Linked DNA regions of Rhinolophus ferrumequinum. Each later gene encodes a partner of the first gene's protein in a complex. Links are inferred from orthologs where the notes say so. Each region holds a gene or a part of one and is shown on either strand. Other genes may lie near its edges.

Region 1 (7,767 bases):
ACAGTGGTTTTGGCTGCTAATTTCTCAGCAAACCTGTGACTGCCACAGTATAGCCTTGAGCTCAGCAATCTGGTATGAAGGATGGGGGGTGCGGCGTTCCCACATGGAAACCCCCCTGTGATGTGAGGCTCCTGTGCAGGGCTGGGGAAGGGGACCGTGCCTGTCCCTGGAGACCAGGGACAGGCCCTCTGGCACTCATAGGTGTGAACGTGGCACACCAGGCACCCAGTTCCCCCACACTGCGCCCCTCCACGACCCTGGGGAGGGGACACTCAGCGTTCCTTTCGTCCCACATTCCCATGGGCTACTGGCTGGCCCCAGGGCACCAGGTTTCCTGGGAATGCCCCACACTGGAGCTTGACAACCTTTCTCATTTTTGCTAAACTTTTTTCATCTGCCGAGGCCCTTTCACCAGCAAACAGTATGTGTGAAGCATGCATGATGGTGGTATGAGAGTGGACTGGGGGAAGTCCTGGCTGCTCCCCCAACAGGCTGTAACCACAAGGGCCACCACAGGGGAGAGGAGATGACACCAGTGCTGAGCCGATGCCAGGCACAGTGAACAGCAGTGAGCGGCCTTTTTATGAAGCAAACATCACCAGGAGGGCCCTGCAGCCTACGAAAGGCCAAGGCTCCAGGAGACACAGCTGGCCCCTCAGATTCCAGCCTTGGAAAACAAATTCCCACCTCAGCCAAAAATAAAACTCCCAGATCGGACAAGATCGATGGCCCCCTCCCTCTCCTCCTTACCCGTTCCCCACCTCTCTCCTTCCTCTTCCCCTCCAACTTCTGCCCCATTCTCGCCTCCATTCTGCCTTCCTCCCCAGGCCCCCTCATCCTCGCCCTTTTCCTCCTCTGCACGTTTCTTCACTCTTCCCCCCCATTTCTTATTCCTGCCACACACACATCAGAGGAGAAGCTCTGCCCAGAGCTGGATACCTACACTCTTCGCTCCCCCACTGGGGGTTGTGGGATGCTTTACAGGTGGCCCAGTGCTGTGTAACCTGGTTCCTATGTGGCTGCACCGTGGAATCGCCTGAGCAGCCTTTTAAAAGGACTGGTTCTGGGCCCCTCTCAAAGCCTGTTGGGGACCACAGGACAGTGAGGACTGACTTGATGGGGCCTCCTCCATCCCTGAAGAGGGAGCTAGAGGCAGAGGCAGGAATGAGAACTGCCTGTCCTAGAGCACTAGCCCACTACAGGCCAAGCTCAGTTTACAGATAAAGAGGACAAGACTCAGAGAGGTTAACTAACTTGCCCCAACTCACACAGCCCCTGAGAAGTTAAGCCATACTCAAGCTTAGAGGCCCTAACTGCAAAACCAGGGAGGGCTCCTCCCAGCTCACCTCCCCTTGTCTGGAACCTAGAAAATCTCCCCCAAGGGCCCAGGGGAAAGGACAGGCCTGGCCCATGGCCTGAGTGGTTGTAGGGTCTGTGGGGAGAGCTCCAGGCAAAGGAAAATGGGAGGAATGTAGCAGGGACAGGTGGGGGGAGGGAGTCACACACCAGAAGGTCTGGGGCTGCTGCTTGCTGCTCCGAGGGAAACCGCCCACCCTCCCCCTGCTCTTCCTGAAGGGTGTTTGGGGCCTATGCCTGGTGTCAGGTTCCTGGCCCTGCACCACAGCTGTCGCCCCCATCCCCAGGGGCCGCTGCTTTCCAGAGCTGGAGGATCTGATCCCTCACAGCCCCCCTTCCTACCCCAGGGGATGGGACCTCTTGCTCAGAGCATCTCTCTCCAGACACTAGGCCCCCAGCAAGCTGAGGTCCACACTCCATTCTACAGGGGAGGGGGAAGGAGTTACCCAGGGGGAAAATTTCCAAGAATAAAGTAACTCCTCAAAGGAGGAGGAAGGGCCTGGAGGACACTTTGGGAGACCCCTCACCTCCACCCCAAGGTGGGAGGGGTACACTCACTTCTACAGACTGCCTGTGTTCAGGGCTACTTTCCCCCACACTCAGAACCTTACCTCCCAGTTGCTTCTACCCCTAGTCTTTCTCAGCTCACTCTCCCATGGGCACAGGGCCATGTTGTACAGAAAGCTCCAGTTGGGCATGTAGGTGGAGATATCTCTCTCTCTCTCTCTCTCTCTCTCTCTCTATCTCTCTCTCTCTGTCTCTCCCCCCTCCCCCTCCCTCCCTCCCTCACACACACACACTCTGGTCCCCCACAAGGCACTTACCCACACAGTAGATTAAACAAAGCTGGGCTATGTTGACACCTGGGAAAGGAAAGTGTTGGTCCCGGCCCATCCCAATCAGCAATAAGGCCCAGTAGAAGGTACTGGCGGGTGGCCCCAACTTTGGGACCAGACCTATTATGTGGTTTTCTAGCTAAGGGGCCCTATGCAAGTCATCACCACTCTGGCCTCAGTTTCCCCATGTGTGCAATGCAGAGAATGGTCAGGGAGTAGCCTTCCTCAAATGGACCAAGGTTAGGGGAAGAGAAGGGGCAGCAAAATGAGGACCCCCCCCACACACACACAAATACAGCATCTTCAGGAAGAGTCCCAGGTTGTGTCTATTACAGAGGCTTCCAATGGCCTCCCCTCTGTCCTTCGGTCCATATGCGCATGGCCCCCAGAGATCCCTATTAAACCCGTCTCACCCCAAATACAGACACCTACCATCATGGCACGGGACAGGAAGATGCAGAATGGCAGGGCACACCCACAGGGCATTGGGAAGCCTTCCTGGGGAGGGGTGTTGGTGCCAATCCTGGAAGGAAGGGTGAGTCAGCTTAGCCAGAGATAGCAGGAAGAGAATTCCTGGCGGAACAGAGTGTCAGCAAAGACAGGGATGTAAGAGTGCAAGGGGGTGGGGGATACACCCAAGATACTGCCCAAGCCCTAGGTGAATTAAGCATTCAGATGTCTTAGCGTTGGAAAGGTGCCCACCTGCTAGGTGTAATAAAAAAACAAAGGCAATATTGAACCATAAGTATAAGGAACGCCCACAATGTTCTGATTTTCCATATGCTTTTTTGAAACATCAAATATCCAACTCATGCAGATACTGGAAGCGTGCCTTCAGCCAGCCCACTGAGCAATCCAGCTCCAAGAAGCCTGGGTCAGGGCTGCAGAGTGGAGGCTTTGCAGGCCAGACTGAGGGACTGGGCTCTGGGCAGTAGTCAGGGAGCCCATCCAGCTCTGGGCAGAGGAATGGCCCAGTGAACACTGAATCACAGGCTTTGGCCCTGGCTGTTCTAAGGTGATAATCAAGAGCCCCCAAGTACTTAGCGACTTGTAAGCCTCAATTATTTCATCTGTAAAGTGGGGGTAATAATAGTGGCTAAGTAAAAGAGTTACTAGGATTAAATGAAATAATGTCTGTAAAGTGATACGTAGTACGCACTGTTATTCACTCAACAAATACATATTGAGTGCCTACTATATGCCAGGTAGTTCTAGGCCCTGGCACATTAAATACACCACTGTACAAAACAAAGCTCTTAGTTTGGAGTGGCTGTAAGATTGGGCTTGGTACACTTGAAACCTGTGTAACTATACTAACCATTGTCACCCCATTAAACTTCAATTTAAAAAAAAAAAATTGGGTTTGGGAGCCACACTGCCTAGGGTTGAATTATTAGCTCTGTGACCCTGAGTGAGGTACTTAACCTCCCTGTGCCTCAGCTCCCTTATGTGTAAAATGAGTAATAGTATAACCTCATAGGCTTGTGTGACGGTTGAGTGAGGTAACGCAGTCAAGGTGCCTAGAACAGGGCCTGGCTCAGTAAGTGTTAGGTAGTGGTGTTACTAAAAGGCGGGGCCTCCCCATCTCCTCCCCATTGCCTGGGAGGCTCAGGACCCCAAGCCCGCGAGGCTGGGCAGTAGCGCCCCCTCCTGGCTACCGGGAGACGGAAGGGAGTCCTCCTGATACTCCAGCGACCCTCCTTGCCCTTTTGCTCCCTCCCGGGTTTGCCCAGAGCTTCTCTGTGGCAGGCTCTGTGTGCGCATTTTATTTACTGGGCGGGTAAATTCGATCGTCTCATCTAATTCTCAAGCAGCTCTCTGAGACAGACACGGTTACTGTTTCCATTTCACCAAAGTGGAAAGGGAGGCTCCTGGGGATCGAGTCCCTTGTCCTGTGTCACGCAGAGAGGGAGCGGTGGGACGAAAAGCCAGGCGGGTCTGACTGTCCCCAGCCTCACTCAGCCTGGTCGCTGGGGAGCCCGCCCCAATCACTGCGGCGTGCGCGGACCGGTGTGCGCGCCTGTTCTGTGCCAGTGTGCGCGTCGGGAGACCAGCCCTCGAGGACAAGGAGCAGGGTAGGGGTGGACTAGGAGCAGGGTAGGAAAAGGAGGGGTGGATGGGGGAAGGAGGGGTGGCCCCCGCGGGGCGCGCGGGCGGGGCTTGTGCGGGCCCCTGCCCCGCCCACAGGCCCCGCCCGCCTGGCTGCGGGGGGGGGGAGGAGGCGGCGGCTCTGTGCACCGGGACTCGGCGGGCGGCGAGGAGCGCGGAGCAGCAGCCGGAGCCGGACACCACCGCCGCCACCGCCACCTGCGCGGCCGTCATCAAGGTAGGGCGGCCCCGCGCCACGAGCCGTGCCTTCTCGGTCTGCGCGCTGTGTGCGTGCTGCGCCTCCTGGCTGTAGCACCCCAGGAGGGATGCTAGGGCAGGGCGCGCCGCGGGGGACCCAGCAGAGCGCGGGGGACCTGGCTTCTAGCCCCTACGCGTGACCTTGCACAAAGCACTGTTCTCCAGGCCTCAGTTTCCTCATTGGGATGGAGGGTGCAATAGTGGGCCCCTTCCTCGCTGGGCTGCGGGGAGGGGCCGCCCCAAGGTCCATGTTCCCGAGGGCAGGGGCCCGGATGGGCACAATCTGCACCGCCCACCCCTCCCGCATGCAGTAAGGGCCGCTCACCCTGGGTGTGGCGAGTCGGTCGCGACAGGCCCCCTTGTGGCCTGAGTGTCCCGCGGGACCCGTGTTGGGACTCTCCCCCTCTTAGCTGGGTGACCTGCTGGCCCTAGAAACAGGACAGGGGACATCTCCAGGTCTCTATGGAGCCAGCTTGGGCATGCAGGGTGAGACCGTCAGAGTCTGCCCGCCAAGTCGGCCTCCCGTTCTGGAGCTGGGGGAGCCCTGAGGTGAAAGTGGTGGGGCCCTCAGCCTCAGACTTGCCTGGACCAGACCCATGCAGGCACCTGGATTTAGGGAATGGTACGGGAAGTCCCTTAAATTTCAGGTGCTGGCACCTAGCTCTGTGCCCCAGCGGGTGTGATAGGGCTGGCTCACGTCTATGTGTGGATCCCAGAGGCGACCCCAGTGCCAAAAGCACTGTGTGTCTGAGTTGGGGTGGGTCTGGAACAGCGCACATGTCTGAGGGACTATGGCTTCCTGCTCTCTGGATAAAGACCCCTGGCATCTGGGCCAGCCCCTCAGTAGCATTCCTTCTGGAAGGTCTTACTGCCCCATTGCACACCCCTTATGATGGGGATCTCATTAGCTGTAAACAGCTGGAATCCGCGGGCCCTGCTCTGGGCACACAGACATCTGACCCCTCCTCCGCCACCCAGAGGCAATCACCTGGTCCCATAAATCTCACCTCCAAGCTGAACACCTCCAGGCCTAGCACTGTTTCTCCTGCTGGAGCAAAAGGGAGCAAAGGCAGGATGGGGGAGCTTGGATGTCTGCCCCCGAGTGGGCAGTAATCAGCCTGGGGCTTGTTCAGAACCCCTTGCATCAGGACCAGAATGTGTCCCTGTGCCTCCTGCACTTCCTGTGCACCTTTGGCTTAGCAGCTGCCTTACAGGTCTCAAGTGAGGAGGAGCCAGAGGAGTCCTTCTCCTGTTGCAGGCCCTGACTGAGAACGAAGTCTGGGCCTTCCGGTCTCTCGTCCCCTTCATGACCTGCCCCTCTCCCTGGAGCTTTCTTAAAGCCAAAAGAAAATCGGGGCCACCTGGGCAGGTAGTGAGCTCTGTGTCAACAGAGATATGCAAGCAGAGGCTAGATGAGCACTTGCTCAGGGTGAGCTACCTTTGGCCGCAAGTCTGGGATCCTAAGCGCTGAAGTAGACTGTCCATGACCTTGTCTTTTGGCCATGGTGGAGCTGCACAGAACTTGGAACTAGACCACAAATGAGTGGTATTATCCCCTCATAAAAGCAGACTAAGTATATGTGCTGTCACTCGAGCAGAGCTCCGATGCACAGGCTTAAGTACTTCCTAAGTCTCCTGTCATCTCTACGTGTGTATTATCTGGGCCCTGTTTTTCTGCTCGGCTAGTCCAAGCCATTTTGGCGTGGTTTAGGGGCAGGGCAGATTCTGGTAATTGAAAAGTCATCCCATGCTAATAATTTTAAAATGTGCCATGGAATTATGGAATGTCCAAGCTGAAAGGGATCTTAAGAAATCATCTCATCCAACCTCCTCATTTTATAGACAGGCATCCCCTATCTCTAAAGGGGATGTGACTTGTCAAAGGTCATAAAGCAAACCAGCAACCAAGCCCAGGGATCCTGATTCTAAGACGTGTGTGTGTGTGTATGTGTGTTTGAAAACACATACCATATAGTAAATGAAAGTGGTCTGTATTTATTCCTATAAAATTAGCAAAAATAAATTAAAAGGATAAACCTCTATGCTGGCAAGGCTGTAGGGATTCTCCAGTGGCATTTAATTTTGTAGTGCAACCTGGCATCTCGTGACAAAAGTCCACAAAAATTATCTTAACTGTCCTTTGCCCCTAGCCTTCTAACTTTGAGTACTTTCCCATAAGGAAGTGAGAGAAAGAGAGTAGTGCTATTATTTATAAGAAGTTGTCTTATAGTGAAGCAGCTCTTGGTGTTTTATCTGAGGATTAATAAACATTTCATGTGAAAATTACAGCTTAAAAAAAACAGTGGCACTAAAGCATAGTAGTGTGGCCCATAGTAGAAAGGCCCTGAGACTAAAGTCAGCAGACATAGATTCCAGGATGAACTCTTCCTCTGCCCCACTCTGCGACCATAGATGACTCCCTTGCCCTTTCTGTACCTCACTTTCCCCATCTGTGACATGGGGTAATTTCAGTGATTGCTGGATTTTTTTCAATTCTGACAACCCATGTTCTAGACTTAGCAAACTTCTTTTAACTGAAGTCTTTATTGGAAGGAGCAGTGAACACAAAGATAATCAAAGAATGTTCTAGCGTCCCTCTACCATCACCAAATGAATCCCCTTAGAAGCAGGCAGCTAGCCTTTTTCCCCTGAAAAGAGATTTTGTTCAGCCTTTGACCTTTGTTATTTCCAAATGGCCAGAACCTGGATTATTTTAGAGCGTAGCATGTTTTTGTTTTTATTTTCTCTACCATATGGAGACAGAGACTTTTTCAGGAGGACTGGAAAATAATTCAGCACGATCCTCTATTTATTATTTGAAGTCTACAATCTGTGCCTTGCCTCCTTCAGACAGATAGAAGGTGCTTTGCAATTCCACCTAGTATGAAGGGCCAGGAGTACATGACTTCATCACTGTGGACAAAAACATATTGGGCACTTACTGTGTACTAGGCCTTGAGATCCTGGGGGCCTGCAGGCTGCCATGGGAAACATATTAGGTTAAACTATGTGAAATGGCCAATATCTGGCTGCTTTTGACTTACAAGAAATGGCAATTTCATTTGACTGAGCCTAAATGGAAAAAGATAATTAAAAAGCAGTGTGTTCCTTACCATAATTGAGAGATTGGCAGGGTGTGGTGGGGGCTAGGAAACTGTGATTGTGAGATTGGAGAAGTCAAGGAAAAAGGTCGTGGGAGCCTCACCTTGAAAATTCAATAATTGAGAAT
Region 2 (7,686 bases), on another chromosome or scaffold:
TCCTGTGGGCTCTCTCCCCGACACATTTGTTAAAATCAAACCTGAATAAAACTACAAGTTTAATATGAAGCCCCAACTTGGATGCTTCTTTGAATAAATGGGTATTTGCTGACTTAAAAGGTAAATTTGAAAACCAGAAATAGATTATAGATTGAATTGTGTCGCTGAGTTCATCACAGCCCACTGTCCCACTGATTTATAATGGACTTGCTAGCCACCCCCACCATCCAAGCAGCCCTGGCCTAGTCCAGGTGGGAGGCAACACAAACAAGCAGCCAAAGGTAATGGCAGGTAGATTTTATTGGCCTGGGACTACTACAGCACACTGGGGACCTTCGCCCATGGTGGGGGGTAGGGAGTGAGGCTGATGATAAAATTTGATGGTCACTTGTGGTAGAATCGCGTGTTCTGGCTGTGCTGGATGAAAGGGAGCCGAGGGCCCGGTTGGCTGGTAGCTGCAAAGCTTGACTGGTGGTGGTGGAAGAAGGGTTTTGTCAGTGTGCATGCTCTTCCCTTCCTTACACCCTTAGAATCACCCCAAAGGAAGAAGGGGGAAAAAACAGGACTGGGCCACCTGTCCTACCCAATCCTGTTTTCTCCCATAGTGTAAGGATTGTGACAGGTATGATTACCATCCTTACCTTTCCTGCTGGTTGCATCTGCACGGGGAGCTGGGGGGAGGCAAGGAGCCCAGGGGCTGGATGCAGAGCTTGGGGATGCATGGGGCGCAGGGAGGACTGCAGAGAACAGAATCAAGACCTGAGGCAGCCTGGGGCTCCCCTTAGCATAGCCCTTCCCCTGACCTCCCAAGGCTCCACACTCACTGAGTCAGAGAAGCCAGTTTGCTGGTTAGCATGTTCCATTTGCTTTTGTAAGGACAGAGCACTGCCAGGCTGGAGGAACCCTAAGTAGGGAAGAAGGGTGTGTGAAATGAGTTAGTGAATGGGGAAGGGAGGACCCATGGAACTAGGTCCCCTGCATGGGGTATAATCACCTGTCTGAGTGGGCTGAAAGTGGCTGTGCACGGCATAGGGCTGTGGCTGTGGCTGAGACAGGTACTGTACTGCAGGAAACGCTGACGGTGCTGAGAAAGGCAGGAGGCACAGCCATTAATACCTCCTTTTAGTCTGTTTACAACAAATACTACTCCCTCTGGGCCTTGAGGAAAGTGTCTCCCCGCCCTCCCACCCCACCTTTTTCCACCACTCACCTCTGAGCTGCTGACTAGGACTATAGGCGGGTTGAGTGGGTCCATAGTGAGGTGGGGGCTGAGCAGTCCCATAGGCACCGCCTGGGCTGCCTTGGAATTGCCCATGCTCTGGGGTCCCTGCGAAAGCAGCTGCTGAGCCCACATAGTGCCGGGTCTAAAGAGGGAGGATGACACCTTACTATCTGGAAACTCCTTGAAAGTAGCAACTGATTTGTGTATGCTCCATTTTTCTCTATACAGTTAAATCTATGTTACACTCATGACTTGAATATTGGTTTAGTAAGGGTGCTTGGGTCTGGGTGGAAGTAGTAGTGGAAAAATGGGCCAGACACCCAATCCTACTCTTACTGTAAGCACTTGGGGTCCGAACATCTGTTTGGCTCTGTCAGCTGCCATGAGGGTACCTGGGCGAGTGTGTCCTCCAGGGCTCCCTAGAGAGGAAGAGGGGCTTCGTGATGCTGAAATGGGAGTCTACAAGTCCTAGGAGGGCCCATTCGGACCAGTGGTTTCTTTAATCCTCACCTTGCATACTGAGGAGATGAGTTCCTGTGTGAACAGTCAGGCCCTGTGGGTATGCAGCTGACGTCAGAGTGGTCAGGTCACTGGAGTGAAAGAAAGACCGGTCAAAATCAAGGAGAAGTGCCCCCTCTTTTGCCATTAAACACTGATCTTTTGTTACGTGATCCCAGTTATACTTTGCCCCCAATTTTAATTTTAGCTCTTAAATCCCACCTCTGCTCCTTTCGCCTCCGTTTTTCTTCCTCATGTAAAACTTTCTTGAGCTGCAGGAAAAGCTGGTGCTTCTCTTCCTGTAGGGCCAAAAGCTTCTCTTGCAACTTCAGGATCTGAGAAAGAAGGGGAGAGGAGATAAAGGCAGGAGAGCCAAAGGAAGAAAGAACTGGGAGAAATCAAGGGACTACATACTTGTTCTTTGGTCTCCTCTAGTGACATTCTCTCCTCCATCTCCTTTTTCTTCCTTCTCTCCTGCTCTTCTTTCATCTTCTGTTCCATCATCTTGTCCACCTCTTCTTCCTCTGGAGAAGAGTTAGGCAAAATGGTGAAGTGGCGGGGTGGTTAAAATAATTAGAACGTTAGGGATTGAAGACCAGCGAAAACTGGTTATCCCAGTGCTCCTTTCTGCTCTTGAGAGGGCAGGCCTCTCCCACCACTGCAATAGGGTAAAGGGAGAGGGACGTTTCATTAGGTGCTCTCCAAGGTCCTTCCCAGCTGAAGCGTTTTACAGTTTAGAAACGGCGATTTAAACTCCCACCACAACAGGACTGTTGCACCCCTCCTTTAGCTTCGGCCGCCGGTGTACTGGTCTGCCCGGGGATGGGGGTCAGCCCTGGGATAGCGGTGCCGCCCTGGGCGACTGTCCTCCCGCTTTGGCCCCAACTCACCTTGCCGCTTGCGCTCCCGCTCCATCATGATGTGCCGGTGCAACGCCCTTGCCATGGCGTTGGAAAGCTTGGGGCGCTCCAGGAGCGCAGGCATGGTGCTGCTGGGGACGCTTGAACTGTGGGTGCCCGGCTCTGCTGCAGACTGCCAGACCTCGGACCAGGCCTGCGAGAAGGCGGGCGCTCAGGGTGGATCGCGCCGGGTCCGCGAAGGCGGAAGCCCGCTCGCCGCCCCGATCACGTGTCCGGCGCCTGCCGCCCGGCCTGGCCCGTTCACCCGCCTCGGCTTCGGCGCGTACGCGCGTGCGGGCGGGGCAGGGGTCCCAGGTCTCGACACTCGCGTCCTCTCCCCGGCAGCCCGGGCGCCAGCACCTTCCTACCCGCCTTCTCTACGCTTTCTCCGCGGCCTACTGCGCACTTTGGCCAATGCGTCACATCCGGCAACTGGAATGAATCCTTCCGGGGTCAGAGCTGTAGCCCTCGCGGATTGGGCGGGGAGGAAAAGCCGGAAGCGAAGCGGACGGGTGCCTGTGACGTCCAAAGCCCTCCGCTACGCCGGCCCCGCGCCGTCCACCCCCGGGCGCTGCTTCCTGGCCTGGCGCCAGCCGCGAGACGCTCAGAGCTAGCAGTGGTTACCCCGTGGGTCCCTGACTGGGCCGGTCGGGGACGATCCCCGAGGGGCGCGTGAGAGACAGGCGAGGCGGGTGCTTTGAGACCGTGTTTATTGGCTCCTTAGAAATCAGAGTCATAACAACTGTACAGAGGGCCCCACCTTCCCCGCTCCCGCCCGGTGGCTCCCGCCCGGTGGCTCCTGGAAAAAGCAGCTTCATGGGGGGCACAGGGAGACTCCTCTGGGATTCACAGTAATGAGGAACAAAACGGAAATAAATTAAGTGATACAGGGGAGGGAGTCATAGGGAGTCGTGTTCCCCAAATCAGTGCACGAGGAGGGGTTACCCAGGGCCTGGAGCCGGGCTCCTCACAAGCTCCCTCACCTCAGAGAGTGTTCAAGGGCCCTGGATGTGGAGGTGTGCTCCACTCCCATCTAAATCTCAGAGTCTGCCTACATACTCTTGTGCATCCGCCAGACTGAGCACCGTGCATGCCGTGGGTCACTGGAATGAGGTGAAGGCAGTCATCACTCAAGAGTCCATGGGCCCGTGGCCCAACTGTGCTTGTAGTAGTGAGGTCTCACCCTTCATTCTACCCGTACCAGCAGGGCATAGAGGAGTGTGGCCCCCTTCTCCTTGGTTACCCATTCAAGTTCGGCTAGGCTGAAGTGAGGGTCAGGAGGTTCTCTGAGGGCAGCAGAAGGAGGGCCAGGGGTATAGGAGCCAGGGCGCACACACACCTGGAATGCCACCTGGGCCTGGTGTGTCCGCTGGGATTTGGGGTCCCGGAATCTGTCAGGCAAGAAGTAGAAATAGGGCAGTGAGGCCTCTGGCCTGTCACGTCTTCCCCTTGCTAACTGCAACCACTGCACTAGCCTCCCTGTTCCTAGGAATCACTCCCACCTTGTAGGGAGTTGGCTCTAGCTCTTCTCTCTGTTCCAAATGGTTCTCCTCCCAATGCCGCCTCAGCTAACTCCGTCACCTCCTTCTCCAGTCTGCTCAAATCTCACCTTGATGTCTACCCTGACTACCCTATTTAATAGACCTGCTCCAACTGCACATTTGATCCATTTACCCCACTCCACTTTTTCTGTTTCCATAATATCACTTGTCACCTTTAAATATACTGAATATTACGCATAAACATTCTACAGAGAAAAATGTAAGTTATACAAGAGCAAGGTTCCCTTTTTTGTTCACTGATAGCATGAAAGAAGTGGCATTTATTCAAGGAATGTGTGAGGAAAGGGATGGGCTGGAAACTGAGGAACTAGCAAAACCAGGTAGGGAAAGGGAAGGCAAATCATGGAGACCCAAGTGGCCCTGGGGCCCCCTCCCGTGTACTCACTGCACTTTGGATGCCAGGGTCTCAGCCCCAGCATATTGGAGGGAGGGAGAAAGCAGCACTGCAGGGGGCTGCTCCTCCCGAGAAGGTGCGCAGTTCTCACCAGGCTCCTCAAACCCTCCCGCAGGGTCTCCCTTCAAGGGCCGGCAGCTCAGGATGGAGGCAGTGCCTGTGAGGAGAGCGGGGTCAGGGTAGGCCTGCTGCAGCCCACAGGCCCAGCCTGCCTTGACTGCTGGAGCTACGGTACCTGCTCCCAGCTCTCCTCGGTCCAGCACCCTCCGGACAGCTGCCACGTTGCTCCCATGATACGCCATGTGCCACTTCTTGGTTAGTGTCCCAGCCTCCAGGCGGGGATTCACCCTAGGTGGGCAGAAAGGACAAAGGTCACGGGCTCCCCAAGGTCATCCCCTAGATAAAAGTTCTGTCACTTCTTCCACGCACCCTCTTGGGACCCTCCTTTCTCAAGAACAGTAAGGGAGACACACATGACTCTGTCCCATCCATACCTGAGGTTGAACCTGCACCAGCCAAAGGGCAGGGCGTATTCCCGGGGAGGCTCCCCACGGCGCCTGTGGGCCTCATCCCCTCGCAGCTTCCGGCAAGACTCACAGTAGCACAGGCTACGTTTCGGTGGAGGCATGAAATAATCCTCTGTGGGAGAATGAGTGGTACTTGGTGCTGTGGCTCCCACCCTGCATCTCAACCACACAGCCTTCTTCCAACTGGTCCCCAGGAATCTGGGCATGGCCCTACACTGGGCCAGGGAATGAGGCAAGTTCTGGGGGGCTGGGAACTCACCAGGAAGCAGCAGCAGTTCTTGGAAACGGGAGCAAAGAGCATGGTACTCGCAACTCTTGAGAGGGCTGGCAGCAGGCGGTGGACCCCAACACACACTCTCCTTGATCCCTGAAGGAACAGAGGGGGCACAGGTGACCAGAAATGGGGCTAGAAGTATGCGGTGGGGTGGGGTAGGATCCTGGTCCCTTTGGACTGGCTCACCATCCACCATGTCGGCTTTCTCCATGTCCCCTTGGGTTCCAACACTCTTCCCACTGGCAGCCCCTGGTTCAGGGTTCACAATTGTCACCTGCAGAAAAGAGGGGTGGTCAGCCTCCAGGGCCTGCTGAGCCCCTCCTTGGCCCACAGACCTCCGCTTTACTCGGACAGCCATCTCCCAGGCACCCCCTCCTCCCCACCTCCATGGCCACTAACCTGCTCACACTGCCCATAGAGGTCCACAAGCGCATGGCAGGGCTGGGGGACATCTGGCACAGCCACCCCCTGGTCCATTCCATTGACAAGGAGGTGCAGTCCCCCAGAGCTGTCTAGCCGCAGTCCCAGGATGGTGCCTTCAGGACATGTGTCCAAATTTGGCCCAAACTTCTCACAGATCTAGGAGGAAAAAAGACCTACTGTCTTCCCAGAGATCAGACTCCCACCAGAAGCAGCCACCCCCGCCCTTCACCCTGTTTCAGGTCACCAGTCCCTGGGCTTTGCTTTCATACTTGCCTACTGCCTGGGCCCCACCCACTGCTTCAATGACCTAGACTTCGCCTCCTCTTTCCTACCACTGCAACGTTCTCAACGGCAGGGCGATAAGAGGCAGTAAGCCCGACTGTCCAGGTAATGACACTCACAGCCTCGTGTGAGCCCACCCACTACAGGGCCCCTTTATACCTGTGATCCTACCTCCAGAGCTCAGGACCCCGCCCGTCTCTCTGCTCCCTACCCACCTTGAGGCCATTGTGGAAGACCCCATGGCCCCGGAGCAGCCAGGCTGCCCGTTTGAGGGCACAGGCAGAAGCAGGGAAGTTGAGCCTCTCAGGTGGGCAGGTGATGACTCCCAGGACAAGGGAAGATGTCCACTGCCGGTTCAGGAAATCTATCCGCACCTGGGGAAGAAGGCAACTATTCCCCAGTCATGGCCTCTTAGGAAGAGGCCACCCACCCAGCAGACCTATGCTCCTCACCCCAGCCAGGGAGGGAAGATGACACCTCCCAGAGTGTGGCCTGGGATGCTGCCCCTTCTGATGCTTGAAGGCCTGGAAACTGCAAATTCAGTTGTTTCTTCCCCTCTTTCAGCCTTGGTTTTGTTGTTGACTCTGTAAGGATTCTTGTCCCTAGTGACTTCCTTCCCCTGGCGAACACTAACATCTCTTAACTTGCAGTAGAAAGACCCCTCCTCTGGAAAGCCCTCCCTGCGCCCACATATAGGACCTGGTGGCTTCCCTGGACTCCCCCAGCTCTCCCCTCCTGTTTCCCTCGCTACAGTCATCAGGTGGGCGCTTACTGGTTACCGACCAGCAACTCTCACCACAAAGTATGAACAAAAGCCCAGGAAGCTCATCCAAGGGGCTTGCCTTCCACTATGTCCTCAACCTGGAAAAGCCATGCTCCAAGAGGATTGGCCCTGGGTCACCTGAGCGAATTGCTGGGGATAAGGAGGTGAGGCCCACCTGGACCAGAAGCTGGGGCACTAGGGGCTGGCTGATGACAACAATGCCCTGATTGTAGCTGGCCACCCGTGTAGCTGTACGGTTCCCATTGGACAAGAGGATATTCTTCCCATGGTTTTCCAGGAACTCGAGGGCTGTAGGCATAATAGTCACTTGATCTTGGCCCTGGTATGGAGGAGAGACTGAGCTACTGGGTTTGCCCAGGTGAGGCCCAAGTCATCCAAGTGGAGTGGCAAGCTCACACAGAGCTTGCACATAAGCTTCTGCCCATCCAGCACAGGATCAGAGAACCCCAAAACGACCTGGTGGCCAATGGCCCACCCACCACTCATCCATGTGCCCAGAGGGCCCTGCCGCAGCCTCTTACTCCCAGGCCATGCTCCTCGCCCTCGTCGTCGTCCTCCTCGCCCTCACTTCCGGTGTCTGAACTGGGGGATGGAGGCTGGGTGCCTTCTGGCTCCTCCAGCCTCGTGGAGCTAACAATAGACACACTCCGAACTGGCCCGTACAGATCCAACACAGCCCACACATTCTGGGGGCACAAAAGACCGAGGAAGTTGATGAGTGGAAGACCTCAACCTCACTCCCAGAACCCAAGGCAAGTCTTGGATCTACCTTGGCAATGCCAGTGGCTGCAGGCCCCATATCCTCTCCATCTACCAGAATG

Evidence for each region. The genes of interacting proteins can lie anywhere in the genome.
Region 2: CORO2A (region 1) and GPS2 share a complex: the UniProt entries of both Homo sapiens proteins name them as parts of the N-Cor repressor complex. The link is inferred for Rhinolophus ferrumequinum from reciprocal best matches to the Homo sapiens genes CORO2A and GPS2.

The regions. Positions count from the first base shown.
Region 1 is NC_046295.1:54,548,730-54,556,496, reverse strand, and holds the start of CORO2A (coronin-2A), read left to right. Parts: upstream 1-4,405; 5' UTR 4,406-4,518; intron 4,519-7,767.
Region 2 is NC_046304.1:11,526,992-11,534,677, reverse strand, and holds the start of GPS2 (G protein pathway suppressor 2), read right to left. Parts: upstream 3,044-7,686; 5' UTR 2,705-3,043; coding exon 2,611-2,704; intron 2,245-2,610; coding exon 2,135-2,244; intron 2,056-2,134; coding exon 1,943-2,055; intron 1,813-1,942; coding exon 1,733-1,812; intron 1,642-1,732; coding exon 1,553-1,641; intron 1,365-1,552; coding exon 1,211-1,364; intron 1,085-1,210; coding exon 995-1,084; intron 905-994; coding exon 825-904; intron 738-824; coding exon 642-737; intron 469-641; coding exon 385-468; 3' UTR 1-384. Other genes in the region: NEURL4 (neuralized-like protein 4), read right to left, coding at 3,806-4,010, 4,567-4,732, 4,811-4,923, 5,070-5,214, 5,362-5,469, 5,563-5,650, 5,776-5,955, 6,297-6,455 and 3 more. UniProt on the Homo sapiens protein: Key regulator of inflammation, lipid metabolism and mitochondrion homeostasis that acts by inhibiting the activity of the ubiquitin-conjugating enzyme UBE2N/Ubc13, thereby inhibiting 'Lys-63'-linked ubiquitination.